Linked DNA regions of Rhinolophus ferrumequinum. The protein of the gene in region 2 purifies or fractionates together with the protein of the main gene of each other region. This does not show direct contact. Links are inferred from orthologs where the notes say so. Each region holds a gene or a part of one and is shown on either strand. Other genes may lie near its edges. The genes, in order: CLTCL1 and clathrin light chain B.

Region 1 (16,249 bases), on a different chromosome or scaffold from region 2:
TTGTTGCCCTTTCAATCTTAGTTGTGGAGGGCGCCGCTCAGCTCCAAGTCCAGTCGCTATTGTTCAATCTTAGTTGCAGGAGGCGCAGCCCACCATCCCTTGGGGGAGTCGAACCAGCAACCTTGTGGTTGAGAGCACACACTCCAACCAACTGAGCCATCTGGGAGCTCAGCAGCAGCTCAACTGCAGCTCGTTGTCTTCATTCTAGTTGCGGAGGGCGCAGCCCGCTGGGCCACGTGGGAACTGAACCGGCAGCCTTGCTGCCCAGAGCTCGCGCTCTGACCAACTGAGCCACCCGTCCACCCTTGAGCTAATTTTTGTGTATGGGGACAAATAGAAGTCCAGTTTCATTCTTTTGCATGTGGCTCTCCAATTTTCCCAGCATCATTTATTGAAGAGGCTTTCTTTTCTCCTTGGCTCCTTTGTCGAAAATTATTTGCCCACAAATATGCTGGTTTATTTTATTTGCACAACAACTAGAGAACACTACTAGCATTTACTGGGCTGGGGCCAGGTATGCTAAACACAGGACAATCCCACAAAAAGAACTTTTACATCTAAAATACCAAATACCGTTGAGTTTTACAGAGTCCCAGAGAAATAATGTGCCCCCAACCAGTATTTTTCATTAGTTAGTAGAAACAACTAAGGACTGTTTAGTTAATATTATTCCTTGTATAATTATTCTGATAGGTAACCTAGCTACACATTTAAAATAGCCTTTATAAGAGTTAATCAAAAGTAGACAAAATACTATCAAATGATTTTTTTTCAGTTCTCAAGACTTGTAATTAAACAAATCCAAATTCAAATCTGACACTCGGGAAAACGTAAAAATAAACCGCTCATTTGACAGTCCTGTGGTCGCTATATTTAAGGGGCACAGGAGTAGCAGTCTGACTACGAGGGTTACAGCTGTGTTTATACAGGACTGTCGGTGAAAACACCAATTGCCTGTATCAGAGCCAGAACATTCTAGTTGCACTGAACATCCCCCCTGTTTTCACGCCTCTGTGCCTCTGAAGATGCCAGTCCTTTTCCTTCTGTAGTTGCCCCTTTCCCAGGCTCATTCACAGCCTTATCCCAGCGGCCAGCATGTGTATGTTAAATAATTAACTAGTAAAGAAGTTACTTGTTTTAGGCAGTCAGATTTAGTTCATCTGCAAATACATTTAAGAAAATATATTTTATATTTTAAACTTATCAGCAAGCTTTTCCTAGCTCAAAGAGGGACATTTGTAAATGATGATACTAAGGTCTTTTCTAGAACTTACCTAAACTTCTAGGACTAGGTTAGTTTAAAAAGTACACTTGCATAGTGCTTTATAGACCCTGTCTCAAATTACACCACTGCAGGTTTTCTGTATTTTAAAACCAATGCATAAGACCCTATATTTATCCCTGTTAAATGTCAACTAGTTGGATTCCTGCCTGTCGAGATCTCTTTGGATTCTAATTTTGTCACTGAACTTTGCTGTCCCAGCTCTGTGGCATCCTTCTGTAGCCAGCCAAGAGTCACGGTAATCTCTCTCTGGCACGGAGGCCACCAGCAGGTCTCAAACAAGAGAAGAATAAGAAAGTGTTGGAGAAGAGAATAAAAGCAGCAGATTCGGTGAAGCAGCAAGCGGGAAAAATCAGGAAGATCAAGGGAAAGCAAAGAAATACTTACAGGATGGGGTGACGGGGTGCCCACTACTACCACCCAGGGAGATATTAATGAACAAAACTGTCAAACAGATGCTGTGATCTGTATGTGATCTTGAAAGAAAGATCTTCAAACTGTAGTAAGTTACAAATGCAAAGGGCAGGAGAATATTTATAGAGAATGTTCTTTTAACCATTTCTTGAAAAACATAGTAGTTTCCTTAATAGTGGTTTCTTCTGGGGAGAGAAACCCAGTGGTTGAACAGAAAGGCTTTAATTTTAATTTATAGTGTTTGTATGGGGCTCTTCTCCCATGGGTATGTATTACTTTGTTTGTAAAGCTTGTTCCACATAGACTTTTGCCCCAGTTCCAGAATGCCCAAGAACCTGGTGGGGAGGAACACTGACTAAGATCCACTTGGACTTGGTAACTCTTTCAACCCAATAAACTCAAAAAGTACTGGAAATCTTTGCAGTTTAGGGATTTTGAGCATTAGAATGTGTTAGCTAGTGATGATCAGTTTTTCCAAAGGAGCCCTATTCAAATTCATTTCACATTTGGTCCCTCACCACCCACTGTTGTGGGCATGCTCACAAAGGCTCACCTTCCCACACACCCTGGGTGAGCAGGTGGTTACTTTCCTCACTTTGTAAATATGAAAAGTCAGAAGGTAAATGACTTGCCCAGTATCTATTTCTAGCACAAGGATCATAAGTCTGCCAAAAGGCAAAATTTAACAGCTTACACAAGACCTTAAAAAAAAAGTTTTACATAGGTGTACAACAATTTTAGCACATAATGAGCCTACTGCTGTTTGTCTCAGTAGATCAAAAACCATTTCACAAAACGAGATGGCTATGTAATAATAATATAAATCAAGCATGTACTAGGCTGTGGGTACACGTCTCCCTTCAGTGACTTCCCAAGGGCCTCTCCAGAAGACACATGCTCATGAACTGTTCTCTCAAGCTCAGTATACTCCTTAGAGTTCTGCCTTCCTTACTCACATAATAAAAGCCTTCAAAGACCAACCTTTTTCTTTAATTATGAATTATGACCAACATCTAAAAGATTGATTCAACCCTGCTGAGTGTGACTTATTTGGGAAGAAATGCCAAAGTCCCACCCTCACCTCTTTGAGATTCTGATTTATGGACACCGGCTAGGTGTTTTGAAAGTCCAGCCTGTGCTGAGAAGCACTGATTAAAACTAGTGACCACCTTGCTCCTATAATTTACACAGACTGCCTTTGCAGACTCTGCATCTATTAAGACCATAAGCTAAGAGATATCCTACATAATCAAATACTTGAGAGAACATGTTTATAAGTTCTCAGTGTATTGAGCTGTGCCACATTTCAAAACTCTTACAAACTAGCAGCTGCTTTTTGATCCAGCTGGGAGAAAATTACCTAGGGCTCACGATAAATTTCTAGGTCACTGAATGGTTCAGCCATTCCTCTTATGAATTAAGGTGTCATCAGTTCTTAGCCCTTTCGCTTTTCTCCATTCTCAGATATCACAAACAGCAACAACCTTACAACTCAGATATCTGAATTTCAAAAGTTCAAATAGTACTTATAAAAAAAAGAAACATATTTCTGCAGAACCAGTCCTCTCAAAACCAATGCGACAGGATAAGCAAAACTAAATAAATCGCTATGATCTTAAGGTGAAGTAGAAGGAATGCTGTATTACAAAACACTACATATAAAAGTGCAGCTTCTGCTCTGGGTACATCCCTGAAAAGTTGATTGTAGAATAAAAGTTTCCAAATACTTATTTCTATTTTCCTACTGACCATTATAAAACTACTGTTTTTCCTCCGGGAAAAATCTGGTCTGAGAATTTTCACATGAAACAAAGCAAAATTAAAAACATAAAAAAATTAATATTCTTATAGTAAGATGCACAAATGTAAAGCATCTAGAATTATTTTTCTATGCATGACATGGAAACTAAGATTCAGAGAAAAAAACTAAGTTTAAATGAACTAAGTTTTATCAGTCACTAGTCTACATTTTCCCTTTCCTAATATTGTAAAACTGGAGAACCTTCTTTTCTCAAGTAATTTTTGGTTTGGGGGAGTGATCAGGTGGACAGAGGTGAGGCAGAAACAAAGCAAAGTCAGTGAGACAAACAAGCACTTTTAATAAAGCAGACTTACAGCAAACAGTCACAGGTGAGCAAACCTCATCACTAGACAATTTACATTATAACTGATCAGTCACTAATTACACACACATTTTATTATGAAATTGGTTTCAGCGATCTGACAGCCTATTATGTACCAAGCCGCAGGAATACAATTGCAAATAAGAGGAAATCCTGACCTCTCTGAGCTGGCAGTCCAGCAGGGAAAATGAACAACTATAACACCATTGGATGAGGGCCATCATAAGAGAAGTCCCAAAGGCCACAGGGGCACAAAGGAAGGGCTCTGACAAGTCAGGGACAGCTTCCAGACAGTGTCATTTAAGCAGATACCAGATGGTTAAGTAGGACTTGGTTGGGTAATGACAGTGGCAAAGGGAAGAATGGGTTCTGGAAAGAGGCAACAATATGTGCAAAAGCCCATGAGCAAAGGTGTCAGGCTCCAGAAAAGGTCCTGGAGGACAAGAAGGGGCGTAGCGAGAGCTAAGCAGGTGCTAGATTAGGCAGGGCTTTACAGAGCTCTTGGGAGTCTGGCATTTTCATCTTGGAGGCAACAGAGAACCATTCACTGACAGACTAAGCAGCTGTTCATCCTTTGAGAAGGTCTCTTTGCCTATGTGCTAGAGAATGGACAGGGGAGGGCAAGACTGGAGGCAGATGACCAGAGACATAGTACGACCATCTAGGTGACGAATATGGCAGACTCTAGGGCAGTGGTGGTCACGATGACAGTGGCAGAACAATGCCAAAAATAAATAGGAGGAAGAACCAATAGGCTAGGGAGAAATCATGCTTGTCTCCTAGATTCCTGACAGGAAACTGGAGAAGATACATGTTTGGGGAGGAAGAAGAACCCTATTTCTGAACATGATGTATCTGAGGAAACTATGGGTCATCCAATGGCTTTGTTCAACAGAGAGCTGTTGTAATGGCAATCACAGCTGACAAGAACATAGTGTTTTATTACAGGCCAGTCACTGACACTTTACATTTACCACATTTATTACTGCAAAACCTCAGTAACTCTACGAGGTAAGAATTATACCTTTTATCTCTTATTTGATAGATGTAGAGATGGAGGCACAAAAAGGTTACCCAAGTTGCCCAAATTCATATGGTCAGTATGTGCCTGAGTCCAGACTCAAACCCTTCCACTTGGCCTCAGTCTCTACTCTAACCAGAGTCTGCAATTGCCTCTCCTACATGCAGCTCCGAGGCTCGGCAAAAATATGCAACCTCTCTGGGAATAATGAGTACATGAGCATACACACAAATCAGAGCAGAGCATACTACAAAGATAAAGGGGCTTAAGACAAACCCCAGGCTCATGCATAAGAGACATCTATAAAGGAAACTGGGGTATGGGCAAAGAGGTAGGAGAAATCCTGGGAGACTGTGGTACCATCAAAAGCAGCCGAGAAAGGTCCAGGAGAGGCAATAAAGTACAGTGTCAAATGCAGCTGGAAAGTCATGGAAGATGTTTGTGATGCTAAGAGTTTGAGTTTGTTTTTATTTTTTTTAATTTAATTTAATTTTTTTTGCTTTGTTTTTATTTTTTAAAATAATGTTTTATTTTTCGATTACAGTTGACATACAATATTGTATTAGTTTCAGGTGTACAAAATAGTGATTAGACATCATATAACTTATGAAGTGATCACCCCGATAAGTCTAGTACCCATCTGATATCATACACAGTTACTTCAATATTATTGACTATATCTCCTGTGATGTACTTTACATCCCCGTGATGGAGTTTATGTTTTACAGCAGGGATTGGCAAACCATAACCTGTTTTTGTATGGCCCAACTAAAAATGGATTTTACATTTTTTAGAAGGTTAAAAAAAAAAGGAAGAATTTGTGACAAGAAACAATATGTGGCCCTCAAAGCTGAATATATATACTCTCTGGTCCTTTACAAAAAAAGTCTGCATAACGACATGTCTGCATGTGACCTTGGCAAGGGGGACAAAAACCAGACTGCAGGTTATTGAGGAACATAAGGGAAGTGAAGAAGGGATAGGGCAATTCTTTCATGACGTCTGGCCATGAAGTAAGAGCTTCAGGAGGACATGGGAGGAAGAAGTTTGCTGTAAAGATGGAAGCAATATGAGCATGGTTAAGCACAAGCAGGAAGAACCCACTAAGAGGAAATGGATGAAAATACGGGAAAGACAAGATGCTACCGAGCAAGGCCCCATTACATACACAAGAAAAAGAACCCCACTTTGGAGGTAACAGGAAGGCAGAAAAGGGAGATCGCATACAAGTTTGTAAGGCCGCATGCATCAAGGTGAGGAACATACCAGCTTATGCCTTGTTTCTCTAATTACCTGCTGGCAGTGAGAGGGAGTGGCAGGATCAGGGATTTAAGGACAAGGTGGAAGTTCTGAAATGTCTGCCGTGAAGGGAGAGTGTGCAGGCTAGATAATAAACAAGGAGTGCAAAGCAGCCTTCACACTGGTTAGTGCCAGAAACCACAAACCACAGATTTCTACTCTCATGGCCTGTATGCCACAAGCCACACATATTTTCCAGATAATAGAATATGTCCCTTCAAGGCATTATGAACTTTGATGGGTATTTAAAATGCCTTAGTGCTTCCCTACCTTTTGAAAAGAATGTATTTTGACAGTGGCTAAAGCACAGGCTTTGGAGTCAGAGACCTGGTTAGAACCCAAGCTCTGTCACTTACCAGCTGTGTAATTTTACCTGAATTACTTAACCTCTTCGTGCCTCAATTATCGTGAGTTAAATTAAATGAGATTTCTAAAATATACAGTATCGTGACTGGCAAGAGAAACAGCTCAATAAATGATGACTATATTATTCTAATAGCAGTAGTAGTATTTTGCTGTTCTACATAACTGGCAACAGGCTTGGGTCAGTGGTAGAATGGAGCCCAGGAAGGAGATGGGTGTTTGGGAGACTTCCACCTCCACACAACCAGCTATATCACTAACCGAGTAACCCTGGCAGGATACTCAGGTATCAAGTTTTCAATCTGCGGGATGGGGGCGATTTGAACAGTCACTATAGACTCCCAGGGCCTTTCTCGTTTGGATATAGAGTTAAAAGTGCACTGTGTTGTGAAAACACGACCTTTCAATCCACCAAATTCCTTGCTGTATAGCTGTGTAGTCAAAAAGACCCAAGTCTGAATCCTTCTCTTGTTCAATGAATGACTGAGGACAAGTTACTCATTTAACATCTTGTGCCTCAGTTTCCTTCTTTAGAAAACAGGGGAAATACTGCGTATTTTATGAAGTGTAATGATTTAACATAAAGCACTTAAGAAAGAGCTGGTAGCTACTATTCATCTAGCCCCATCTCCTCACCTGTAAAGTGAGAATCGTATTACCCTTCACAGGTATGACACCTGAGTGTATGTGAGCGGAGCGCTGTGCCCAGTGCTTGTACCGAACTTCGTTCAAACACAGGCAGCCAATCTTTCTTTTCCTCAGGCACAACTATATCAGGAGAGTTATAGATAGAAGAAAGTGGGACCTCATTAAAAAGCTAAACTTCGAGGGTATTATTATCGTATTGAAAGGATCTTCTGAAAAAAACACTATGATTACTTTTCTTCTTTGGTCACACAATTTGAAGATCCTCTCCCACGAGGCCACACTAGCGACTCTGCAAGTCAACAGACGCAAACTCCGGCGTAAGTATCACGAGATGCAAAAGGGAAATTTTAGGATTGGACACAGGTTTTGGAGTTATAAAGCTTGGGATTCGAATGCATGCGCACCGCTAGTCAGTTAAAGCTTTTCAAAGGCACTACGACAGGTTTCGGCAGTTTATGGTTTCCATCACTCGGCACTCTGAGCATTCCCGAGGTCTGAGTCGCCCGAGAAGGGTTACCCAGACCGCACCCCCAGAGCCGACAGTCGCTGCGGGATAACGGTTTCCCGGGACGCGGCCACCGCGCCCGACACCCACCCGCCTGCCCGCCCCGGCCATTAGGCTCCCGAGCCGCGCCGTCTCCACTGGAGTCGGTTGGGGGCCGCCGGCCGGTCAGCGGCGCCGCCGGGTCCCCCGGGAGGTCGGGGACGCGGCTGACAGGACCCAGCGCGAGACCCGCCCTGGAGCCCGCCCGCCGCTCCCTCGGTGCGGGAGCTCGGTCCTCACCTGGAGGTGCTCCTGGAAACGGATGGGGAGGACCTGCGCCATGGCGGACGCGGAGCAGAGGAGGGGAAAGCGACAGCTCCCCTCGTGTGGACAGACCCGCGGACAGGCAGACGCGCCGACCCACTGACGGGAGGCAGCGGCAACAGAGGTCGCAGCCGCCGCCGCGCAGGCGCATTGCCTGGGCTTCGCCGCACGTACCCCTTCCGCGTGAGAGTGCGCGGGATCCCTCCGCCCGCCTTCCGAGGGTCCGCGAAAAGTAGTCCGCGCGTAGCCTTACTTCCGGCACCCCAAGCCAAGGCGAGTCTGTGCTGTCCGGGTCTGTGCTCAGGAAAGGTGAGCACCGGAAGGTGGACTCGGGCTCTGACTGCAGTGGGCCAATGCCCAGGACAGGTGTGTGTGGCGGAAAACTAGGCGTGGGCTGCCCTCAGTAAATTCCGTGAGTGACGGGGTTAGAAGAAGAGGTAAACCAAGTTACCAGGCTGCTCTTGCCTAGAGCCGTCCATATGTAGAAAAGTTCTACCTCAAACTCTGGACAGTTGAGTTCAGAGGCACTTTTTAAAATTCAGGCACAGATGTGCCCAAAACACCGCCAAAGGAGTCTTCGAAGTATGTGACAGATGTGTTCCTGAGCAAGGCTCAGCCCCCGCTCCTATAGGAAACATCTTTCCGGGTTCATTCGTTTTCTAGAGAATACTGTGTCAGAATATCAGTGCGACGAGTCTGCAAAGATAACATACACGGTAGCAGCAGATGACCAACCAAAAGCCAGTGAGAATCACCTGGGTTGCCTGTGGTCGCACAATACATAGCAGTAGCAAGTCCGGAACTAGAGTCCACACCTGCCTTGCCCAGCAGCCAGTTGTTTTCAGAGGCACCATTTGAAGATGTGTTTTGCATATAGATGGCTCGGCTGCATAAAAGATGTTTGTCAGGCAAGGGGAAGCTTTTGGCATTCTGCGTTGGCACTCTCACAGAGTAATCGCTATCCTCTACTGTTTCAGGTTGCTCAGTGGTCATTTTAAGAAACGAATGGTCCACCCTGAATAATACAGCGATGCAATTATTTGCACATTAACTTTTCAATATAGTAGCCAAAAATGTTAAAGAGAACACACTGTTCACTTGCAAATTAAATCTCTTTTCCAGTATTACCTCTGCAGACTGCCCTTTCAACATCTGTGTGGCCTCATCACCTAACAATAGAGCCGATTTTTGCTGTGGGTAACACTACATTTCTCTATCTTGGCAATAATGCCTATGATCTCAAGTACCCTTTACCCCAAACATATAAATCCTTTAGTATTAATAGTATCATTCCCTAGATCACCCACCCAGGGCTTTTTTTTGGGGGGGTCAAAACTAAAAATTTACACCCCAGAAGAAAGGAAAATAATGCATAATCAAAATGGTAGGATTGCAAATAAGTCAGAACTTTGCCTGGTGTCTATATTTATAAAGGAACTAAACATTCTTACCTGAAAAGGGTCTTAATATTCTTACCGTTGCTGTGTGACTTGCCAAGTAATCCTGTCAAAAGTCTTTCAATTCTTTGTGCTTTCTTAATCTTCACGATAGAAATGATGAGATCCTACAACTCAATAAGACCACCAACCAAACAGAAAGATGGGCAAAAATATATGAACAAATAATACATAAAAAAGAAATACAACTGATTCTTACACATGAAAAAAATGCCCAACTTCGCTCATAAAAAAGGTAAATTAAAACCATACTGATTATGTATCTCTGTATCTCTCTATATATACATTACATTTATATTATGTACTTTTTCTACCTATCACATCAGTGAAGGACAAAACTTTGATAACTGTGTTGGCAAGAAAGAGAACTTCATGATAGCTGGGCACAGACACTTTAGTATTCCACCCAGGGTATCTATTCTACAGTCTTTCTTGCAGACCTTCTTCCTACAAATAAAATTCCAAGGAAAATGTGCAGCTCATGGTAAAAACAAAACAAAACAACAACAACAACAAAATAACACTCAGGAAAACAAAGCACCACAAGAAAGAACCAGGAGAACTAAAAGGCAGATACAGACTCACAAAGATTGAAATGATGAAATTATCACACACAAACAGACTTTAAATTAGTATATTTATTTTTTAATTATTGTTTTTCAGTTACAATTGACATTCAATATTATTTTATATTAGTTTCAGGTGTGCAGCGTAGTGGTTAGATATTTATATAATTTATGCAGTGATTCCCTGCATTAGTCTAGTACCCACCTGGCACTATACACAATTATTGCAACATTATTGACTATATTCTCTATGCTGTACTTTGCATCCTCATGACTATTTTGTAACTACCATAAGTTACTATATTTAATATGTTTAAAGAGCTAACTGGCAAGCTTAAAAATACATGCTGGGGAACAAATACATGCAGGAAACCTGAAACTATAAAGAATGACCAAGCAGATTTAAAAATGAACCAAATAGAAATTCTAGAAATGCAAATGTAATAAAGTACTGTAAAGCTTGGTCATCACATACTAAGTGGGACCAAAATATCTAATCATGTTGTGAGATAAATAAAATGAGAATAGAGGAAGGACAAGGATGGGAACTACATCAATAAGAATCCTTCAGGAGACAGAAACCACGCCAGTTATTTAACAGAGGGACTGGAGTATAAACAATAGTTAACATAAATAAAGCTGATAACTAGGCAGCTGGGAGGGTAAAACGAGAACCCCAAGTTATCATGGATGTACAAGTATAGAAAGTAGCTACCATCCCTACAGCTCAGGGATGAATGGGATGAAACTAGAAATATTTCAGTTTAGAGGAAGAGCACTACAGCGCTGGAACTCAGGCCTCTGGAAAGAGAGTCTCTAAGCCTAGAGGAGGGTTTCCATGGGGTAGGGACGTAGACCTCTGAGAAGTGTCCCTATGAGACTTAGGTGCACACTGCTGCTGAGGGGCTGTGGGGCCAGGTCCCAGACCTCTGAGGAGGACGTGCATTGAGGCTGGTTATGCAAGTCTTGGAAAAATTTCAGACTGGATTCAGCTTCTTCTGTGGGAAGAACCTGCTCTGACTTGTTGAAGAGTGTAGCTGGGGTGATGTCCACAGGAGCAGACCCTGCAGTTGCCCTCCAGCATCCCTATGGGCAGGGAGTTTCTGCCAGTACAGAAATATAGTTTAAAGAGTCTTAGTGCCAGCACCATAAAGCAGTTTATAGATGGGGAAAGGAAAATAGAACTGAAAGACAAACTTAAAAACCGGCCTAGGAAACACGTTATAGCTAAATTCCAATTCTCATGGGGTTTTCCAATACATGAAATTAAAAAGTCCATGGATAGCTTCTGTTTCCAGAAAGCATCAGAGAACTAACAAGGCAGAAATAATTATGGGGTCAATATCCAAGAGAAAAGAAGAAATGAGAGCGGTTAGCCTGGCATTTGGGATGCTTTTTCCTGAGGGATATCTGCCAATTCCAGAGGAGTGTCAGAGAAATTAGGGTTCTGGGCAGCACTTTTAACACACTCAGAGACATAGGAAGACAAAGTTTGAAGTCTGGGGATCACCCAGGAGAGACCCTAATGTTTTGCTTTTGGAACACAAATTGTTTGGGACTCCATTCAAATCATGTCAGTCCTTGCCAGCAGCAAACATAAATTCTCTTGGGAGAGAGACAACCTCATGATAAGCCTCAAATTATTTCATATGCAATGATCAGCACTCAATCAGAAATAAGTAGGAATCCAAGAAGATAGGACAAATGATTGTAAATCAAGAGAAGTAACAAATAGATCTATAGAGGATTCAGATAATGGAGTTTTCCCAAAGACTTTGAAAGGACTATGCTTAATATGGCTAAGAGAATAAAAGATACGACTGAGAATTTTATTAAACTTTAGAAAAAGAGGGTGGCTGGTTAACTCAGTTGGTTAGAGTGTGGTGCTAATAACACCAAGGTTACCGGTTTGATCCCCACATGGGCCACTGTGAGTTGTGCCCTCCTTAAAAATAAATAAATAAAAATAAAAATAAATAACAAATAAAAAAGGAACAAAATGGAAATTCTAGAACTGAAGACTATAATCGAAATTTAATGAATAGTGTTTGTTAGGTTATATACAGCTAAAGGAGGAAACTAATGAAGTTGGAGTTAGGTCAGAAGAATATATCCAAATTAAAGCACAGAGAGAAAAGTATAGAAAGTACAAAATATAGATAAATATAGAGGCTACAGTAAGGACTAACATACATGTAATTGGAGTCCTAGACGTGGAGAGGATGAGACAGACACAATGTCCGGAGAGATAATGGCTTAGAGCAGGGGTGTCCAAACTTTTTTCAATGTTTTTCACCAAGGGCCATATGCGGTAAAAATACACAAACAGCCGGGCCACTCACTCGAGGTGAAGTACGTATTGCCTCACCTGGTTTATTTAAGTAAACTAAATATATTTTTGGAATTTGTTGTGGGCCAATTAACAATGGATCATGGGCCGCAGTTGGCCCATGGGCCACAGTTTGGACACCCCTGGCTTAGAGTGTTTTGAAAATTGATGAAATAGATCAAGCCTCAGGTTCAAGAAGAATTACTTCAATCAGAATTCATAAAAAACAAACCACATTTGGGCATATCATAGTAAAACTGATGAAAACTAAAAAAAAAAAAAAATCTTAAAAGCAGTCAGAGGGAAAAGACAGATTACTTTTGAATGTCGAGCGGGGAGAAGGAGGAGGAGGAGGAGCACACACTAGAGAGGGGCTAATTGATTATTTATTTAGCAATCTTCACTCAATCCAGTTAGCAGTATACCATGGTAAAAGTCAAAGGCAATTAATAGAATATGTTGATGTCAGAAAGTAAAGGTGGTGAAGACTAAACTATATACATTGATACCGCTGTCATGTCAAAGGAGTAATCCCAAGTTTAAGTGATATGTTTACTAAGCATATGTTTACTATTGATCAAAAATCACTTGGCTAACTACACAAATAACATCAGTAAGGAGTATCCAAAAACAGTAATAAGCTTATAGGATAGTAAGTATTACAGTAGATGTCAAAAGTTCACCAAACCGGGGGAGAACAACACTGGAAAAGTCATAAATCAAAACCTTGCCAAGTCTGTAGCTGACAGAAACTCAGGCATCTCCCACAACACTGCTTGTTAGTTCCCAAGAATGTTGCTGTTGCCTTTGTTGTTGTTGTTGTTGTTGTTAAAAAGTCAAGGCATCTTCTGATGCTATAAGCTGTAAGCTGCATATAAGTTTTCAAGGTGTCAACAATCTCAAGAATGTTGTTATTGTTGTTAGAAGTCAAGACTTCTTCTGATGTTGTAAGCTGTAAGCTGCATACAAGTTTTCAAGATGCTGACAAATTCTTAAGAAGGCTAACCGTGAGGAACAACACCGGAGAGGCCAGGAACCAGCCAGACTTCACCAGGTTCACGGCTGAAAGTCAGGACATCCCCTGGTGTTGTAAGCTGCATGTTGCTGGAAGTCTTCAAAATGTTAGAATGATGAAAGATCACCAGTGGCAAATGACCAAATGATGACATAATAATTACACTGTCAACTGAGGTCTGTCTTATATATTTTCTCAGATGTACCTTAGAGCCAGGCTCTTTGTTCCTGCCTCCCCCTCCGGGAATAGCCAGTTCCGGGAGGGTCCAGCAGTCAATGATAAAAAAAGAAAATATATTACTTATCTGGCTGAAGAGCTAGTTCATCCAGACAAGGAATATCTACTGTTCTTGCTTGGGATCATCAGCCCAAGGTCTTCCAAAGCCTTGCAATGTGCCTGTCACGTTGTCCTGATATAACTTAGCTACTTCTTCACTTCATCTGCTGATGTGGGTGAAACCAACAGAACAGAGTGACTTCTCTCAACCCCTGATCAAGAATTTCTTTAACCCTAAGCTAACCATCACCTCACAACATGGACAGAACAACAAACATCTCATATCTCCCCTACTCGAGAGAATGAGACCAAACAGAAAACCTCATCTCTTAATGTCCCCTGCTCAGGAGAATGAGACCAAAGGGGGAATTTATTCAACCCCTGATCACAGCACAGAAATCACCTCACATGTAGGAACAGGTAAAAGCTAATAGACAACAGCTCACATCAACCAATGAAGGCAAATTTTCCTCAACATCTACCCTACATAAGGAGAAATAATTAGGCTGAGAACTGATTTCTCAAACAACAAGAAGCATCATAGATTCTAAGTTTTACATACACATACACACACACACACACACACACACACACACACACACACACACACCCTTTAGGAATGAAAGGGGATTGATGTCATTTGCAGACAAATGAGATCTGAGGAAATTCATTACCAGTAGACTTGAACCAAAGGAAACTAATGGATTTTCTTCAGCAAAAATAAAATGATTTCAAATGGAGGATGAGAGATGCAGGAAGAATAAAATTCAACAAGGAGAGCATATTGGTAAATCTAAATGAAATTTGAGTATATAACACAAAATAATAATAATGCCTTCTGGGATTAAAAACATACCAGAATTAAAATATATGAAAACTATAGTATGTGAATCAGTAGTGGAATAAATGGATTTAAGGTATTCTAAAATAAAAATCCAAGTATCATCTAAGAAAAGGTACAAAAAGCTTAGATTTGTAGTATATTGAATTATTGATTCTACACTGTAGTCCTCTGTAGTAGTTCTATTCATCCATCTCCTCTTTTCCGCTTACAAAAATGAAACTCTATACTCATTAAACAATAACTCCCCCATTCCTTCCTCTCTCCAGTACCTGGCAACCTCTAATCCACTTTCTGTCTTGATGATTTTGACTACTCTTAGGCACCTAATCTGAGTGGAATCATGGTCTGTCTTTTTATGACTGCATTATTTCTCTTAGGACAATGTTCTTCTTTGTCTCTTGTGAATTATTTTGATTTAAAGTTTGTTTTATCTGATGTTAACCATCGCTGCTTCCTTTTGGTTAATATCTGCATGGAATATCTTTTTCCATCCTTTCACTTTCAACCTATTTGTGTTTTTGGATCTAATGTGAGTCTCTTGCAGACAGCATATAGTTTGATTATGTTTTTATATCCATTCTTCCAGAATCTGTTTTTTTTTTTTTTTAAACAGGACTTTATTGGGGAACAGTGTGTACTTCCAGGACTTTTTCCAAGTCAAGTCAAGTTGTTGTCCTTTCATCGTGGTTGTGGTGGGCTCAGTTCAGCTCCAGGTCCAGTTGCTGTTGTTAGTTGCAGGGGGCACAGCCCCACCATCCCTTGCTGAAGTCCAACCGGCAACCTTGTGGTTGAGAGGACGCGCTCCAACCAACTGAGCCATCTGGGAGCTCAGCAGCAGCTTAGCTCAAGGTGCCGAGTTCAATCTTAGTTGCAGGGGGCAGAGCCCACAGTTGAGGAGCTCCCAAACCTTGTGGTTGAGAGCCCACTGGCCCATGTGGGAATCAAACTGGCAGGCTTCAGCATTAGGATCACGGAGCTCCAACCGCCTGAGCCACCGGGCCGGCCCTAGTTTCTGTCTTTTGATTGGAGAGTTTAATCTACTTACATTTAATGTATTACTGAGAAGGAAGGATATCTGTCATTTTACTATTTGTTTACCATATACAGTGGTACCTCGTTTTTCGAACGTCTCCATTGACCAACATTTTGGTTTATGAGTGCCCTAAACCCGGAAGTAAATGCTTCAGTTTTTGAACACGACTCAGAAGTCGAACATGTCATGTGGCTTCCGCTGAGTGCAAGATCCTGAGGCCTAGCTGTTGGCTGTTTTCGAACATTTCAGAACTTGTGCATTACATTCGAAAACCGAGGTACCACTGTACCTTTAGATTTTTTGTCTCTCGTTTCCTGTATAACTATCTTCTCCTGTGTTTAGTTGTGTTTTTTACAAATTGAAGGTTTGTGGCAATCCAGCATTGAGCAAGTCAATAAGTGCCATTTTTCCAACAGCATTTGCTTACTTTGTGTCACTGTGTCACATTATGGTAATTCTCACAATATTTCAAATAATGATGAAAAAAAAGATTATGACTCACTGAAGGCTCAAGTGATGGTTAGCATTTTTTAGCAATAAAGTATTTTTAAAGATATTTACACCTTTTTAGACAATGCTATTGCACACTTAATAGACTATAGTGTAGTGTAAACATAACTTTTACATGCGCTGGGAAACCAAAAATTTTGTGTGACTCGCCTCATTGTGATGTTTGTTTTCTTGCAGTGATCTGGAGCTGAGCATGCAATATCTCTGAGGTAAGCCTGTAACAGTTTAATTTGAATTTATACCAGCTTAACATCAAAAACA
Region 2 (15,628 bases):
TGTGGGGTCCTGGGGATGCCATCTGTGGGCCAAGTTCTCTAAGTCTAAATACTTTTAATTCAAGTATGATTGATGTACAATATTCTATGAGTTTCAGGAGTGCAACACAGTTATTCATCTGTCTAAATATTTTTAAACCAATTTTTATATATATATATATGAGGGAAGGAGGGTTAGGTGGGTACAGAGGGCAATCTTTAACTAGAAATATCCTTACTACGTGTTTTGGTGCATGCGTGTGTGTTTGTGTGTGAGGGTATGTGTGTGGGAGTGTGCACAGAACCACTGTAAAGAATTTTTAAACAATAAAAGTGAAAGCCCTTTTCTTACCCCTCCCCAACCCCCATTTTGGGGCTAACCACTGTTAGCAGTTGGTTCACAACCTTTCAGATATTCTGTGCAAACATATCTAAAATAAAAAGCAGGACCATGCTGTGCATATTGTTCTGCAAGCCGCTTTCCCACGTAATAGATTGTGGGCATCTTTTCATGTCAATACAGAAAGCTCTGACTGTCTTTTTAAAAACAGCATGGTTTCCCAATTTACCCACCCAGGCTCCCAGGGCTGGACCCTTAGGTCATTTCCAGTTTGTCTGCTACTATACATCATCCTGCGAAGAATCTGGGGGTCCTTGTTTAGTTATTTCCTTAGGAAAACTCTGAGGAATGGAATCTCTGGGTCAAAGGCCTGCCCAGTTAAAATGTTCATGTGTGTGAGGGACGGCCACTCAGTTCGGCCTGCGAGGGCCAATGTGTGCAGGGCCCTGTGCTTCCTTCAGTCCACACCACGGTGGGCTACTTTATCCCTCCCTCCAGGAGCAGGGCAACACTGTGGGAAGCCAGAGGCTACAGTCCTTCAATCCCTGTCTCTCGTGGTCCTTATTCCTCATCACGTTCTCCTACATAACAAGAAAATCATGTCAAAATCTCTATGTTTCCATCCCAATGCATCAGACATAGTGATCAGAAAACTGGGAGCCCTAATCCTACTGATGGGTAAGTTCCTGAGGTCTAGGCTGTCAGTCCCTACCACTGCCAAGGCTGAATCTTGCTTACCTGAAACACATCTCCATTGATCGTGGTCCCTATGTCCTCAGAACCAGCTAGAAAGAGAACAAGGAGACAGCATTACTTGTTGCTCAGCTTATAGGAAGCGCAGAATGGCCCTACATTAGCACCCGGAGCCAAACTGTATGTATCCATGCGAGTATTGACCCCTCCCCCAAAATAAACATTCTGGATACATAAAAGACTTGAACTCTGCCCTTAACTGTTCACCATCCCTTCTCACAGTCTTTATCACATTTGATTTTCACCAGTCTTGTGATGAAGTTGACATCAACCCATTTTACAGATTCTCAAACTGAGGCTCAGAGAGGCTATGTGATTGCCCAAGGTCATCCAATGAGTAATAGCTCCTCACCTACCTGAAATGGATATACCCTCTGCCACAGCTGGGAATGGCCCAACTATGGAGCCTGTGCCTGGTGAGCAGGTAGAGGAGCTGTAGGCTCAGGGCGGAGTCTGCAAGGGCTAAGGAAGTGGGACCTGCGCGTCTGTGCCTGTCCCTGGGGCTCCTGAGCAACTGCTCCACCTGAGAAAGCAAGAACCACAGCCCCCACCAGACAGTACTGGGCCTATTTTTTCCTCCTTCTGCCCCTCCCAGAAGGATTTCATTTTGCCCTCAACAATGACTTCTCCTGGTCCCTGACATCTGATTAGTCACAAATTCCTGTGGCTTCTGCTGCAACAGTGACCCTCCAAGTTGCCCTCCACTCTCTGCCCAGTCTGGCCTCAGCGCCAGCTCTCGCCTGTACAGATGCTTTGGTCTCCACCCTACTGGTGGCAAACACCTGGAGGGGCCCAGCTATATCCTTTGTCCTCACCACTGTCCTTCCCAGATCCCTGCACGGTACCTGCAACTTAGTAAGAGTCAGAACCTATTTGTTGAACAAACAAATGAATAAATGCCTTGAAAGAATGAATGAAGGAAGGAAGGAAGGAAGGAAGGAAGGAAGGAAGGAAGGAAGGAAGGCTTTGTCCACTCACAGGCCTTCCTGACTCTAGCTTCATGCTCTCCCAACCCTCTTTCAAACCAACTCCAGAGCTGACATTTTGTAAAGCATACACTTACTTATGTCACTCCTCTCATTAAAAATTTAATAAAAATGAACCAAAAGGAAATCCACTTCCCACGGACCACAGTAGCCTATAGGGCCTGCTCCTGCCTCAGGGACTCGGCAGGTGCTGTTCCCTCTGCCTGGAAGGCCCTCCCACCCGTCTCCAAGTGGGCGGCTCCCTCACTCCCTTCAGCTGCTGTTCAAACGTTGCTTTATTATCGGCCTTCCTTGACCACCCCTGACATTCACCCTTCGGGCACCCCTCTCCAACCTTGTCTCTATAGCAGTTACCACTGCCTGATATGTTTACTTGGTTAGGTGTTTGTCTGACTTCCCCACTTGAATGGACCCTCCAGGAGGGCAGGAACTTTGTTTTGTCCACTGCTGGAGCCCAGCACCTCTTGCCTGGTACATAACAGGGGCTCAGTAAATATTTGTCAAATGAGTACGTTTGACGTAGCACTTGAGGATCTTTACAGCCTGGCCCCACCCATTTTTCTTGCCTCACTGCCAACCAGCCCTTCCCACAAACCCTATATTGTTTCCTCCTTCCCCAAGCACACCACTCAATACCCTATGCCTTTCTTCCTGCTTCCCTCTCTGAAGAATGCTCTTCTGGATCCAGTTACTCTCTAAGGCCCAGTTCACAAGTCATCTCCTCTGGAAAGCCCTCCACTATCGCTCCTGCTTCCCGAGGCACTGATGGAGGGTCTCACCTCTGGTGTATCCCAGAATACTGTACGGCATCCCCCACCCTCTTATGCAATTACTCATGACCTCCCAGGGCTCATGCACTCCCTTATCAGGCTCTGTATCCTGTTCAGCTCCCAAGGGCTCCTGCACAGAATGGGTGAGAAATAAGTATGGATTAAATGGAAGTCGAGTTGTTCTTTGGGGGCCCCTGGTTATTTACAAGGCCTGTCTGAGTCCTCTCAGAAACTGCAGTGTCTCCTAGCAGAAAGCCACAGGACGCATGAGATGACCACAGATGGACAAGTATCCCTTTACCAGCCAGACAGAGATGTGAGCAGCAGTGACAGTGCTTTCAGCCTGGGGATTGAAGGGAGGGACACTTAATCCGTGGAAATAATCTCCAGTCTATATAAATTAGAGTCAACTCTGTTTTCAGAGTAAAACAGGGGTCGATTCTGACCAGACAGGTCAGCAATCATCCCTACTCATTCAGATAGGGCTTCTCCTGCCTGAGTGGCCTGGGCCCTAACTCAGGTGAGCTGGTGGGGTTTCAGAGGCAGCATCTTCCCCTGGGGTATCTCCTCCACCAGGGCCTTATATTTCCAAGGTCCATTCACAACAACGCTGGTCTGCGCACTTGGCCTCTCTGGAGTGGAAGCTGTACCACCCCACTCCACCCTGACCTGCCCCAGGCTCAAGCCCCACTGGCCTTCAGAAAGTCTCAGCCCCAGTCTCTCAGTCCCAAGAGTGTTCTGGAGATGAAGTTTCAGCCTCTTCGGGAACCCACAGACACCCACATACAGAAATGTGAGTATGTGTTCCCTTAATGCTTTCTGATGCATCTCTTGCACTTTTATAATCGTGTGTCTGCAGTCAGAGGCCGGCAGCAAGGAGCACAGCAGACACAAGTCCCAGACATGACCCATTTTGGAACAGTGGCAGACGGGGTCCAGAACATTCCTGGGAGCTTACTGAGGCCCAGTAGGGCAAACAGGCTTGCCAGGAACTGACTAGCAAGTCAGCGGCAGAGCCGGGCTGGGTGCTCAGCAATCTAGGTGTGAAAAAGTAAACCTTCTGGGCCTTACCCAAGGTGATGAATGGAAACAGTGTCCATTGCACAGGCTCCAGCCCACAGAGGAAAGACTCAATGTAGCTCAGGCTCAGGCCTACACAAGACACCTCTTTTCCCAGGGGCACCTGGGGCCCAAGTCAGGGCACTCTGTGCAGGGGCATCATCTAAGAGACAAGACTCAGAGGTGCTGACAGGCAGCGGTGCTGACAGGAAGCCAGCTTCCACCCAGCTCCCGGCAGGCCAAGGCACATGTTCCCCACCCATTTGGCTTCTGGCACTCACTGCTAGTCCAGGGGGAATTACTTGCTCAGCACCATGTAGGCTTAGGAGGGCAGATCAATTCCATCCTTTCTGGCCACCTACTGAGCTGCCAGCCACGATACCTCCTGGATCCCCCTGCCCCACTCAGAAGGGCATTTGCAGCTTTTGCAGTGTGAAATTGTGAGTCCCACAGACCCTCACAGGGCATGTCCCTGCTTCTCTCCCTGCCACCTCAGGCATGCGGCCAATTCATGCCCCACCCCTGCCAGAGAGGGAAACTCCCATCCAGGCTGTGAGCCCTGAGAGCCCCACTGTCCTGGGAGAGGCCACAACCCGCTCAACTCCCGGACGCCTCTGGTTACCTCAGCCTGACTTCTACTGCTTCTCTCTCAGGGGGTTGTGACATCTGCTGTTTTCAGCAGAGCATCCCCCAAGCCAAGCCAGACTGGGGAAGCTGGTGGTCTCAAGGAGGAGAAGTGGACAAATGAATACTGGTGCGTGAACATGGGCAGGCATTTCCTAGGATGTGCAAGAGTCTGTCCTGAGGTGCTAGGAGCTGCCGCTTCAGAAGACCTCCACTGCTGGTTTGGTTGGGTAGCAAAAGACCGTCCCCTCACCCCCACATCCCATCACCTCCCAAGATAACTGCCGACCGCCCTGCCGTAACATGTGAAAGAGCATGGAGCCCAGACTTGGGAGGTCTGGGAATGGATCAAGTCCCAGTTCTGTCACTCACGGCTGTGTGACTTTGGGCAAGATACTCAATCTCTCTGGGCCTCCACTTTCTTATATGTTACAAAAGTCTTGTTACATTTCTCAAAGCAAGGGGCTACAGAGAGCTTGAAGCTCCTCAAGTCACAGAAACTGTCTTACTCATGTCTGTATCCCCAGTGGGCCTGGCACACAGAAGGTGGTCGCTAAATGTTGAATGAATACAAACATAACTCTAAGGAGCCTTACTTGTAAACATTTTCTTAAAATATGTAAGCTACCACTGACTCCAAAAGGCCCAGAAACCCCCACCAAAATAACGACATTAACAGAAAGCAAGTGCTGTGTTGGATGCACCCATGAAGGTGATATCTACTTTTTTACTAAATGTTTTAAGAAATTATTCTTTCAAGCCAGAACCAGAACAGAAACATCATTGATAAACGTGCTGTCACAAAGACCAGGCCCCGGACCCTGTGTCTGAGGCTAACCACAGCAGCCCTGGCCCACCTTTGAAAAACACCACAGGGCAGGACCACATGTGACTGTGCCCTGCCCCCACTCCCTTGGTGTCTAACTCAGAGCCAGGCATATGGAAGACAATGTGGTCAGGTGGAGAGGGCTTAGAGTCTGACAGAAACAGATTTAAACGGTCGCTCTGCCACTTACCAGTTGTTTTAGTACTGTACTTTTTGAGCCTCGATTTTGCTATCTCTGAAATGGGTTTAATAATGCACATAAAATTATTAAATGTAAATAAAGTGCCTAGCCCAGTGACTGCAGGACGGCAGGTGGTCCCCAGGGAAGGTGTGTGAGTTCCTGGAGCACCCACTGTCCCCTGCTTTCCCAGCTTTAGGAGAAAGCTAAGTCTGAAGGGCAGAGAGGTCTGCGGTTCTGCCCACATTTTCAGGGCTCAGCTGGAAGCCCACACAGCCAGGCGACTACTACCCCAGGCCAGATTCTCAGGGCTGGGCACCATTGGATTCCAAAGCTTCGCAGTGGTGAAGCTGGCCAGGGAATGAAATGTCATGACGAATTCTTGTCCCAGGAGCCACCAGATCCACAACCCCAGGCGGGCCCTCAGATGAGAATTTCCAAGATTCCTCCGCATTTCCCCCCCGGGCCCGGCTCACACACTGCCCCAGGCCTGCTCCTGGCTAGTGGCGAGCAGGCGCTCTGCTTTCTCCCCGTCTGCGGCCCCGTCCAGTTTAGGTGAAGAGGCCCCGTCTGCGCTGCCTGGTACCCCGGTTTGAGGCGCAGGCCCCCCGCTGCCCAGGCCACGGCGCTGACTCACCCCCATTCGCGGGTCCCGGCTGCGCCAGGACCGCCTGGCCGCCGGCAGGTGCCCCGAAACCTTCGTCATTCTCTATGCCCGCGATCTCACTTTCCTGCTGGGCCAAGAAGGCAGCCGCCGGGTCCTCCTCGGCCGCCTCGGGGGCCCCGCTCAACGACGACGAGAAGAAGCCAAAGTCATCAGCCATTTTCCCTGCGTCTCTGCTGGAGGGTCCGCCTGGCGCTCGGCTCTGCCCGGCGCGTGCCCGGCGCTGCGCCCCGCGGCGGCGGCACAGTCACCCCAGCGCCCAGGGAGCCGACTTCTGCGGGGACGCGCTCGGTGTGGTGGGCCCGCACTTCCTCTTCGCCACCGGGCCCGACTCTCCTGTCACTGCGGTGCGGACGGGAGGAGCCGGGACGGGAATGCGGTGATGTCACCGGCCGAGGGAGGGGGCCCGCAGGACAGCCGGAGGTCGCCTAGCGGCGGCCACCGGAGGGCAGCAGCAGGACGGTGGCGCAGCCCGAGGGGCCCCGAGGCCGGGGCAGCGCTCTCGTTCCCTGCCAGAGGGCTCATTTCCAGGACACCAGGACACCGCACAGCTCCGGCCGGGTCTACAGGGGAAGCTCACTGCACAAAGTGGCCATAGCGTGCACAGGGCCACCGCGGCGGGCAGCCCCGACCTCCAGAGCACGGAGAGGGTGGCCGCTGCGCGGAGCTTGCTCCTGGTCCACTCTGCAGTTTCTTCACCTAAACTGGGTGGATATTATAAATTTCATTATTATGAGGCCAAGAGAGGTGACACTAAGTCCCACAGCGTGATTGCATCTTTGTTGCAAGTCCAGAGCCTTTCCCACCAGGACGTGTTGCTTTAGTGCATTTCTCTTCATTTGGGGTGGCTTCAACTCAGATCGCCAGAGATTGTATGACCTGACTGCACCCCTGCTTAGAGGCTGGGCCCCTCAAATGTCCAGTCTGAGAAAGGCGGACAATTGATCGAGGCAGCCTGCCAGCCCCCACCCAGTCACCCTCACTACACAGTGTCCGAACGCCTCCTCCCTGCCTGTGCTGTGCCAAGCACTAGGGCGACAAAACGTAGCAAAACCAGTCTTGGCAATGGGGAGAGTACAATCTATCAGACCAGCAGATGGCAAGCGGGCCCTCACAGCCCGTGTGCAGGTGCTCTGACATTGAAACGGGGTACCAGGAAACCCGGAGGGGCTTTGGGATCTTCTCTTTGCGATTTGCAACTTGAACATCAACGATGAACTGGAAGAGAAAAAGGAAAGATACACCCCAAGCTGTGGTAGCAGTTCCCTTAGTGGGTGGGGGCGTGGCAGTAGGGTTGGGGTGAAGGGGCCTTTCAGGCTTGCTCAGTAATACTTTGATGTAGGTTTCACTCTCACGATGAGAATAGTATTAGTAGTGTAAACAAGAAAGAAATTTAAAGCCCTGCTTACCTGGTCCAAGCACACCGCTCCACCTTCATCTCACACCTCTTCCTCATTCCCCCAACTACAGGCTGGGGTGCTGGAAAGACCTGGAAAGTTTGCTTGTTTGACAGACCTGCCCTAAATGTCAACTCCAGATTTTGTGGAGACAGAGGACTAGTGAACACGCTATGTGCTTCCCCATTGTCATCTCCACCGGGTGTTCTGATTTAATTTCCTTTTCAGATTGTTCATTGTTCGTGTGAAGAAATGCAACTGAAATTTGTGTGTTGATTTTGTATCCTGCTACTTTCTTGAATTCATTTATTAGTTCTAACAGTTTTTTTTTGTGTGGAATCTGTAGGGTTTTCTACATATAAGATCATATCATCACATGCAGATTATCATTTGGCCAAAAAGTCACTGGCATCTCTTATGTGTATTTCTAGAATTCTTGGTTTGCCTAGCTCCCTTCCCTCTAGTACTCTGTCCCGTGAATCCAAGTCACTTCAACATCCCCAAACTCCTATCTCTATCTCTTTGACTCTTGAGACCACTGAGCTCTGTTTGGGTGCCCCTTTTGTACTCAGCAATTTAACATTCCTTCAGGTACAAAGCCTGGAGAATCATACTTGTTTGTTTCTCTTCTCTTAGGGAATCACAGTTCTGTTCTACTTATTGTTAATGTCTGAAAATAATTATTTCACATACTTTGTCCAGTTTTCTAGTTGTTTACAGTGGGAAGATAATTTAGAACCCTGTTACTTCTTCATGGTCAATAGAAAAATCTCCTCTTAATCTTTTTCTTCTTAAAAAATGTATTTGTGCAGGATAAATAAATATCATTGCTTACAAAAAGCAGAATTAATCTTCCGTAGAGGATGTGCTTCTGTGAGAGTTAATGGAGTTGCTGAAACTGGACAGAGACATTTCTTTGAACAAAATTTTCTTTTCAGAAGAAGTTGGAGGAAGACTTTCTGGCTGACACATGCCCAAAGATGCAGGTGGCATTCAGAGGTTTCTAGCACCCATGGTGCATCCTGGCTGGTGCTGATGGGGCACAGGATGCCTGGGGAGCATGTAAGGGAGGATGCTTCCACCATCATTGTTGATGTTGGAATTTCATGATTTTCCTGGGATGTCTGTCTCTGAACTTCCTTGTTTCTGCCTAGAAGATTCAGGCCCTCAAGGCCACTTGCATGCTGTAGGGACATCCAGCTAAAGGATCTGCCTACTTCAGGACTCTCTCCTTAAGCATGAAGTTGACATTTTCTTCTCTAAAATCTGCTTAATGCCTTTCTTGTTCTCTCGACTTCCAGCATCTTTCCTGCCTAAAAGGTAGTCTCGCCCGGGGCCTAAGCCCTGCATGGAAGCTGTCCTGACAGGCCATGTCCAGGAGGCGGGTCTGCCCTTTGCCTTTTTTGCAGGCTAAAAGCCAGCGCAACAAACCCTGAATCACAGTTCTCAATTAGCATTTTGAGGTGCCTTTCCCTGGTGTGGTGTGAATTGGAGTGTTTCCCTCCTAGTAGTTTGTTAATCCCTTGTCCTGGGCAAGAAGCTGGTCTCTATGATACAGGAGGTCCATATCCCACTCCTCCTTAAAGTTTGCCTGATTTGGGACCTCAGTCTCTCCATGGGTGGTGAAATTTAACTTTGGGGAGCTTCCTAGCTCACTGGCTTGAAGGATGTTTCTTTCTTAAATCTTTATAGACACATTCCCCCTTTTTTTTTCTTGCAATTTGTTGTTGTTGAAGAAAATCTATTGTTTTGTAGACTTTTTCTCGGTGTGGATTTTTCTGGTCATATTCCTGTGGTGGAATTTAACATGCTCTTTGGAACCTTTATTATTTCCTATGAATTGGTAGTGAGATCTAGAGTAGTGGTTCTCAACCACGGTTGATTTTGCCCTCCAGAGACCATTTGGCAATATTTAGAGAATTTTTTGTACTGTCACAACTTGCAAGGGGGCACTAACATCTAGTGGGTAGAGGCTGCGGATGCCGCTTAACACCTTACAAAGTACAGGACAGCCCCTCATCAAAAAGAATTGTTGAAGGAGAACTGACTCTGGGTGGTGAACACACAATGTAATTTATAGATGATGTGATATAGATTTGCACACCTGAAATCTATGTAATTTTAATAACAATTGTCACCCCAATAAATTTAAATAAAAAAAAAATTGTTGAGCCCAAAATGTCAGTCACATCACGAAACCCTGGTCTTGAGGTTTAATGGGATGCCAGATGACTTTTTTTGCAAGCATGTTTCACACATGGTGTTGGGAAAGTCCATCGCACCACATGAAATATCACATCGTGTCTAGTTGCCTCTTAGTGATGTGAGGATTGATCAGCAGCTTTAGGTGTCATCAGCCTGGTCCCTCAATAGCAAAGTTCCAGCTCAGGCTTTTACCTCCAATTTTGGCAGCCTTTGTAATCTTTATCTAAGTCAATAACTATTTGGGGTTGAAAAATTGTGGTGATTCTCTTTCACTATTTCTGCATTAGCTGGAAATTCTTAAAGAACTTTCACTCGTTATCCATCTGCTTACCCAGAAGGAGAGTTCATAGAGGAGAGGTAATATAAATGTTTAAGTGTTTCTCTTAATTTACCAGCTTTCAGAAAAGTGAATTGATGTGCTGGCAGTCTCCAAAAGTGAATAACGAGCTATTTGTTGGTGGATTGTTTTCTTTTTGGTATTATAATGAACTCCTGGATTTATACATATTTGACGTGTTTGAATTCATCATAGACGTTATACTTTTTAAGAACCTTTATTGACATATAATTGACATGCAATATTTCAGGTTCACAGTTTTATAAATTTTGACGTGTGGGTACACCTAGAAAACCTCTCTGCCATCCCCAGGCAATCACTAATATGCTTTATGTATGGCCTTGAGTTTTATATAAATAGAATCATACAATATTCACTCTCTTTTGTCTGGCTTTTTTTACTCAGCACAATTCTTTTGAGATTCATCTATGTTGTTCCACGTATCAATAGTTCATTCCTTTTTATAGTGCTGAGTACCAGAGTAAGTTTAACTTTTATTTTTATCATTTAGAATTTCTTTTATTTTTTTAGAAGGGTTTTAGATTTACAGAAATGTAATACAGATATTATAGTTCCCATATGCCCAATTTCCTGCATTAGCATTTTAAATTAGTATAATATATTTGTCACAATTAATGAACCAATATTGATATATTACCAACAAAAGTTAGAATAATCTTATGATATCTCTTTTTTTTTAACAGGACTTTATTGGGGAACAGTGTGAACTTCCAGGCCTTTTTTCCAAGTCAAGTTGTTGTCCTTTCAATCTTAGTTGTGGAGGGTGCTGTTCAGCTTCAAGTTGTTGTCCTTTCAGTCTTAGTTGTGGAGGGCGCAGCTCAGCTCCAGGTCCAGTTGCCGTTTTCTAGTTGCAGGGGGCACAGCCCACCATCCATTGCAGGAATCGAACCAGCAACCTTGTGATTGAGAGCCCGTGCTCCAACCGAGCCATCCGGGAGCTCAGCTGCAGCTCAGCTCAAGGTGCCATGTTCAGTCTTAGTTGCAGGGGTGGAGCCAACCATCCCTTGTGGGAGTTGAACCGGCAACCTTGTGGTTGAGAGCCCACTGGCCCATGTGGGAATCGAACCGGGAGCCTTCGGAGTCAGGGGCATGGAGCTCTGACCGCCTGAGTCACCAGGCTGGCCCGCGTATGATATATCTTGATTGGTAAAGTATCTGTTTAAATCTTTTAAATTGGATTGTTTGTTTACTTATTGAGTTTTGATAGTTCCTTATATTTTCTGACTAAAGTCCTTCATCAGACATATAATTTGCAAATATTTTCTCTCCGTCTTTTCAGTTTCTTAATAATGTCTTTTGAAGAGCGGAAGTTTAAAATTTTGATGAGTTATAATTTATCAATTTGTTTTTTTATGGATTATGTCTTTGTATCCTATCCAGGAAATCTTTGCCTAAACCAAGGTCACAAAGATTTTTGCCTAATGTTTTCTTCTAGAAGTTTTACAGTTTTCTGTTTTACATTGAGCTCTGTGATATATTTTCCTTGAAAGGCATAAACTACCTGAATACCCATACATCTATTAAAGAAATAAAATTTGTAGTTAAAAACCTTCCTACCCAAGAATGCTCACTTTTGCCACTTCTATTCAACATTGTACTGGAACTTCTAATCATAGCAATTAGGCAAGAAAAATAAATAAAAGACATACAAATTGGAAAAGAAGTAAAATTATCTCTATTCACAGATGAAGTGATTTTCTATATAGAAAACCCTCAAGAATACACACAAAAAATCTATTAGAGCTAATGAATGATTTTAGCATGGTTTCCGTACATAAGATCACCACATAAAAATCTGTTATATTGCTATACACTAGCAATAAAAAACCCAAAAATGCAATTAAGAAAACAATTTCATTTACAATAGCATAAAAAAATACTTAGAAATAAATTTAACAAAAGAAATGTAAGACTTGTACACCGAAAACTGCAAAATATTGCTGAAAGAGTTTAAAGAAGACCTACATAAATGGAAAAACATTCAGTGGCCATGGATTGAAAGATTTAATATTATTAAGATGGCAATACAGTCCACAGTAGTCTACAGATTCAATGCAAACTCTATCAAAATCCCAATGACCATTTTTACAGAAATGGAAAGGTTTATTCTGAAATTCATATGGAATTTCAAGGGACCATGGATAGCCAAAACAATCTTGAAAAACAAAAAACAAAGTAGGAAGACTTACATTTCCCAATTTCAAAATTTACTCCAAACCTACAGTAATCAATAATGTGGTAGTGGCATGAAGATAGACATAGATCAGTGAAATAGTATTGAAAGTCCAGGAATAAATCCATGTATCAATGGTCAGCTGATTTTCAAAAAGGATACCAAGATCATTCAATGAGGAAGAATAGTTTCTTCAACAAATGTTGCTGGCACACATGGATATGCACATGCCAAAGAAGAAAGTTGCACCTTTGCCTCCCACAATATACAAAAATGAAATCAAAATAGATCAAAGAATTAAATGTAAGACCTAAAACTATAAAACTATTAAAACATTTGCATAAATCTTCATAACCTTGGATTTGGCAATAGATTTTTAGAGATGACACCAAAGCACAAGTAATAAAAGAAAAAATAATACATAAATTGGATTTCATCAAAATTTAAAACTTTTGTGCATCAAAGAACACCATCTAGAAAGTGAAAAGACAACCTATAAAATAGGACAAAATATCTGCAAATTATATATCTGATACAGGTCTGGTGTCAAGAATACATAATGAACTCTTACAAATTCAACAACCAGAAGATAAACAATCCAGTTTAAAAAATGAGCAAAGGACTTGAATGGACATTTCTCTTAAGAAGATATACAAATGGCCAGCCATCACTTGAAAAGATGCTATTCATTATTATTCATTAGGGAAATACAAATTGAAACCACAATGAGATGTCACTTTACACCCACTAGGGTGACTACAATTTTTTTTTTAATTAGGGAATATTGGGAGACAGTATATTTCTCCAGGCTCCATCAGCTCCAAGTAGTTATCCTTCAATCTTGTTGTGGAGGGCGTAGCTCAGCTCTAAGTCCAGTCACCGTTTTCAATCTTTAATTGAAGAGCATGCAGCCCACCATCCCATGTGGGAATTAAACCGGCAACCTTGTTGTTGACAGCTTGCGCTCTAACCAACTGAGCCATCCGGTGGCCTCTCTGACAGCTTGCTGTCTTCAATCTAGTTGTGGAAGGCGCAGCTCACTGGCCCATGTGGGAATCAAACTGGCAACCCTGTTGTTTAGAGCTTGCGCTCTAACCAACTGAGCCATCAGCCACCCCTATAATTTTTTATTTAAAAAGGAAAATAAGTGTTAGCCAGGACGTTGTGAAATTGGAAACTTCACACCTTGCTGGTGGAACAGAAAATGGTACAGCCCTTGTGGAAGATAATTTGGTGGTTGTTCAAAATGTTAAACATAGAATTACCATTTGACCCAGAAATTCTACTCCTAGGCATACTCATATATCCAAAAGAATAGAAAACAGGTATTCCAACGAAAAGTTGAACACAAATGTTCATAGCAGCACTATTAACAGTAGCCAAAAAGTAGAAACATCCCAAATGTCCATCAACTGATGAATGGATAAAAAAATAGGGTATATACACACAACAGAATATTATTCAGCCATAAAAATGAAAGAAGCACTGAGACATGCTACGACATGGATGAACCTTTAAAACGTGCTAAATGAAAGAAGTCAGACACAAAGGCCACATATTGTATGATTACATGCATATTAAATATCCAGAATAGGCAAATTCATAGAAACAGATGTAGATTAGTGGTTGCCAGGGATTGGAGGAGGGGAAAATGGGGAATGACCGCTTAACCGGTATGGGGTTTCCTCTGGAGTGCCGAAAATGTTTTGGAACTAGATAGCAGTAATTGTTGCACAACATTATACTAAATACCACTGAATTGTACATTTTACCACAATTTTTTTTTTTAGGTTTTATTGAGAAAAGGGAACAAGACTTTATTGGAGAACAGGACTTTTTTTTTTTGGGGGGGGGGACAGTGTGTTTTTCCCAGGACCCATCAGCTCCATCCAAGTCAAGTTGCTGTCCTTTCAATCTTAGTCTTAGTTGTAGAAGGCGCAGCTCAGTTCCAAGTCCAGTTGCCATTGTTAGTTGCAGGGGGCGCAGCCCACCATCCCTTGTGGGCGTCGAACCCTCAACCTTGTGGTTGAGAGCACCCGCTCTAACCAACTGAGCCTTCCAGCCGCCCAGGAGCTCCGCAGCAGTTCAGCTGCAGCTCGTCTTCAATCTAGTTGTGGAGGGCATAGCTCACAGGCCCATGTGGGAATCGAACTGGCAGCCCTGTTGCCCAGGGCTGGTGCTCTAACCAACTGAGCCACCCGTCCACCCACCACAATTTTAGAGACTCAATCAATGTGATTCATCACATTAACTAACCAAAAGAGAACAACCATGTGATCATCCCAATGCAGAAAAAATCCTTTGGCTAAATCCAAACTCGATTCCTAATAAAAACTCTCAGCAAACTAAGATCTGAAAGGAACTTCCTCAACCTGATAAAAGACAGCTCTGGAAACACTCAGCTAACAACATTAAACTTAACAGTGAAAAGACTAAATGTTTTTCTTCTAAGATCAGGATAAGAAAAGGATATCTGCTTTCATAACTTCTATGTAACATTGTACCAGAAGTTCTAGCCAGCGCAATAAAGAAAAGACAGAGAGAGGGAGAGAAGGGGGGAGAGAGAGAGAGAGAGAGAGAGAGAGAGAGAGAGAGAGAAATCCAGATTTAAAAGGGAAAATTAAAACTATTTTTATATACATGCAACGTGATTGTCTTATGTAGAAACTAGATGCCACAAAAAAACTACTAGAACTAATATGTGTGTTTAGCAAGGTCGTGGGAGGCAAGGTGAACATACAATATAAACTGTATTTTTATTTACTAGCAATGACAAAGAGGAAAGTAAAATTTTTAAATGCTATTTACAATAGCATCAAAAATATAAATATCTAGAGAAAAATCTAACAAATGATATGAAAGGCCCATACACTATAAACTACAAAATATTTCTCAGAGAAGTTAAAGATCTAAATAAATTGAGAGACATACCTTGTTCATGGATTAGAAGACGCAACATTAAGATATAAGTTGTCGTCATATTCGTCTATAATCAATACAATCACAATCATAAAAATCCCAGCAGGAACTAAAATAGCCAAAATAACTTTAGTAAAGAACCAAGTTGGAAAACTAACACTATCTTATTTCAAGATTTATTGCACAGTTACAATAATCAAGACTGCGGTATTGGCATCAAGACAAAAAATAGAGTCTAGGAAAAGTCTTATACATATGTAGCAATTGATTTCTGACAAAGTTGCAAAGGCAATTCAGTGGAGAAGAGATAGTCATTATACTTTTTAATGTTTAAATTTTCTCATCGTTGGCCCTTTGTAATAATTTGACAGCATCTTTGCTTTCTGGTACAGCAAGGT

What was found.
Region 1: the proteins of clathrin light chain B (region 2) and CLTCL1 purify together in Homo sapiens (affinity purification with mass spectrometry; 3 studies listed by BioGRID and IntAct, with this or other methods). This does not show direct contact. The link is inferred for Rhinolophus ferrumequinum from reciprocal best matches to the Homo sapiens genes CLTB and CLTCL1.

What each region holds. Positions count from the first base shown.
Region 1 is NC_046308.1:23,898,841-23,915,089, forward strand, and holds the start of CLTCL1 (clathrin heavy chain 2), read right to left. Parts: upstream 8,423-16,249; 5' UTR 7,977-8,422; coding exon 7,935-7,976; intron 1-7,934. UniProt on the Homo sapiens protein: Clathrin is the major protein of the polyhedral coat of coated pits and vesicles. Two different adapter protein complexes link the clathrin lattice either to the plasma membrane or to the trans-Golgi network.
Region 2 is NC_046307.1:6,076,962-6,092,589, reverse strand, and holds the start of clathrin light chain B, read right to left. Parts: upstream 6,568-15,628; 5' UTR 6,339-6,567; coding exon 6,152-6,338; intron 1,104-6,151; coding exon 1,057-1,103; intron 1-1,056. UniProt on the Homo sapiens protein: Clathrin is the major protein of the polyhedral coat of coated pits and vesicles.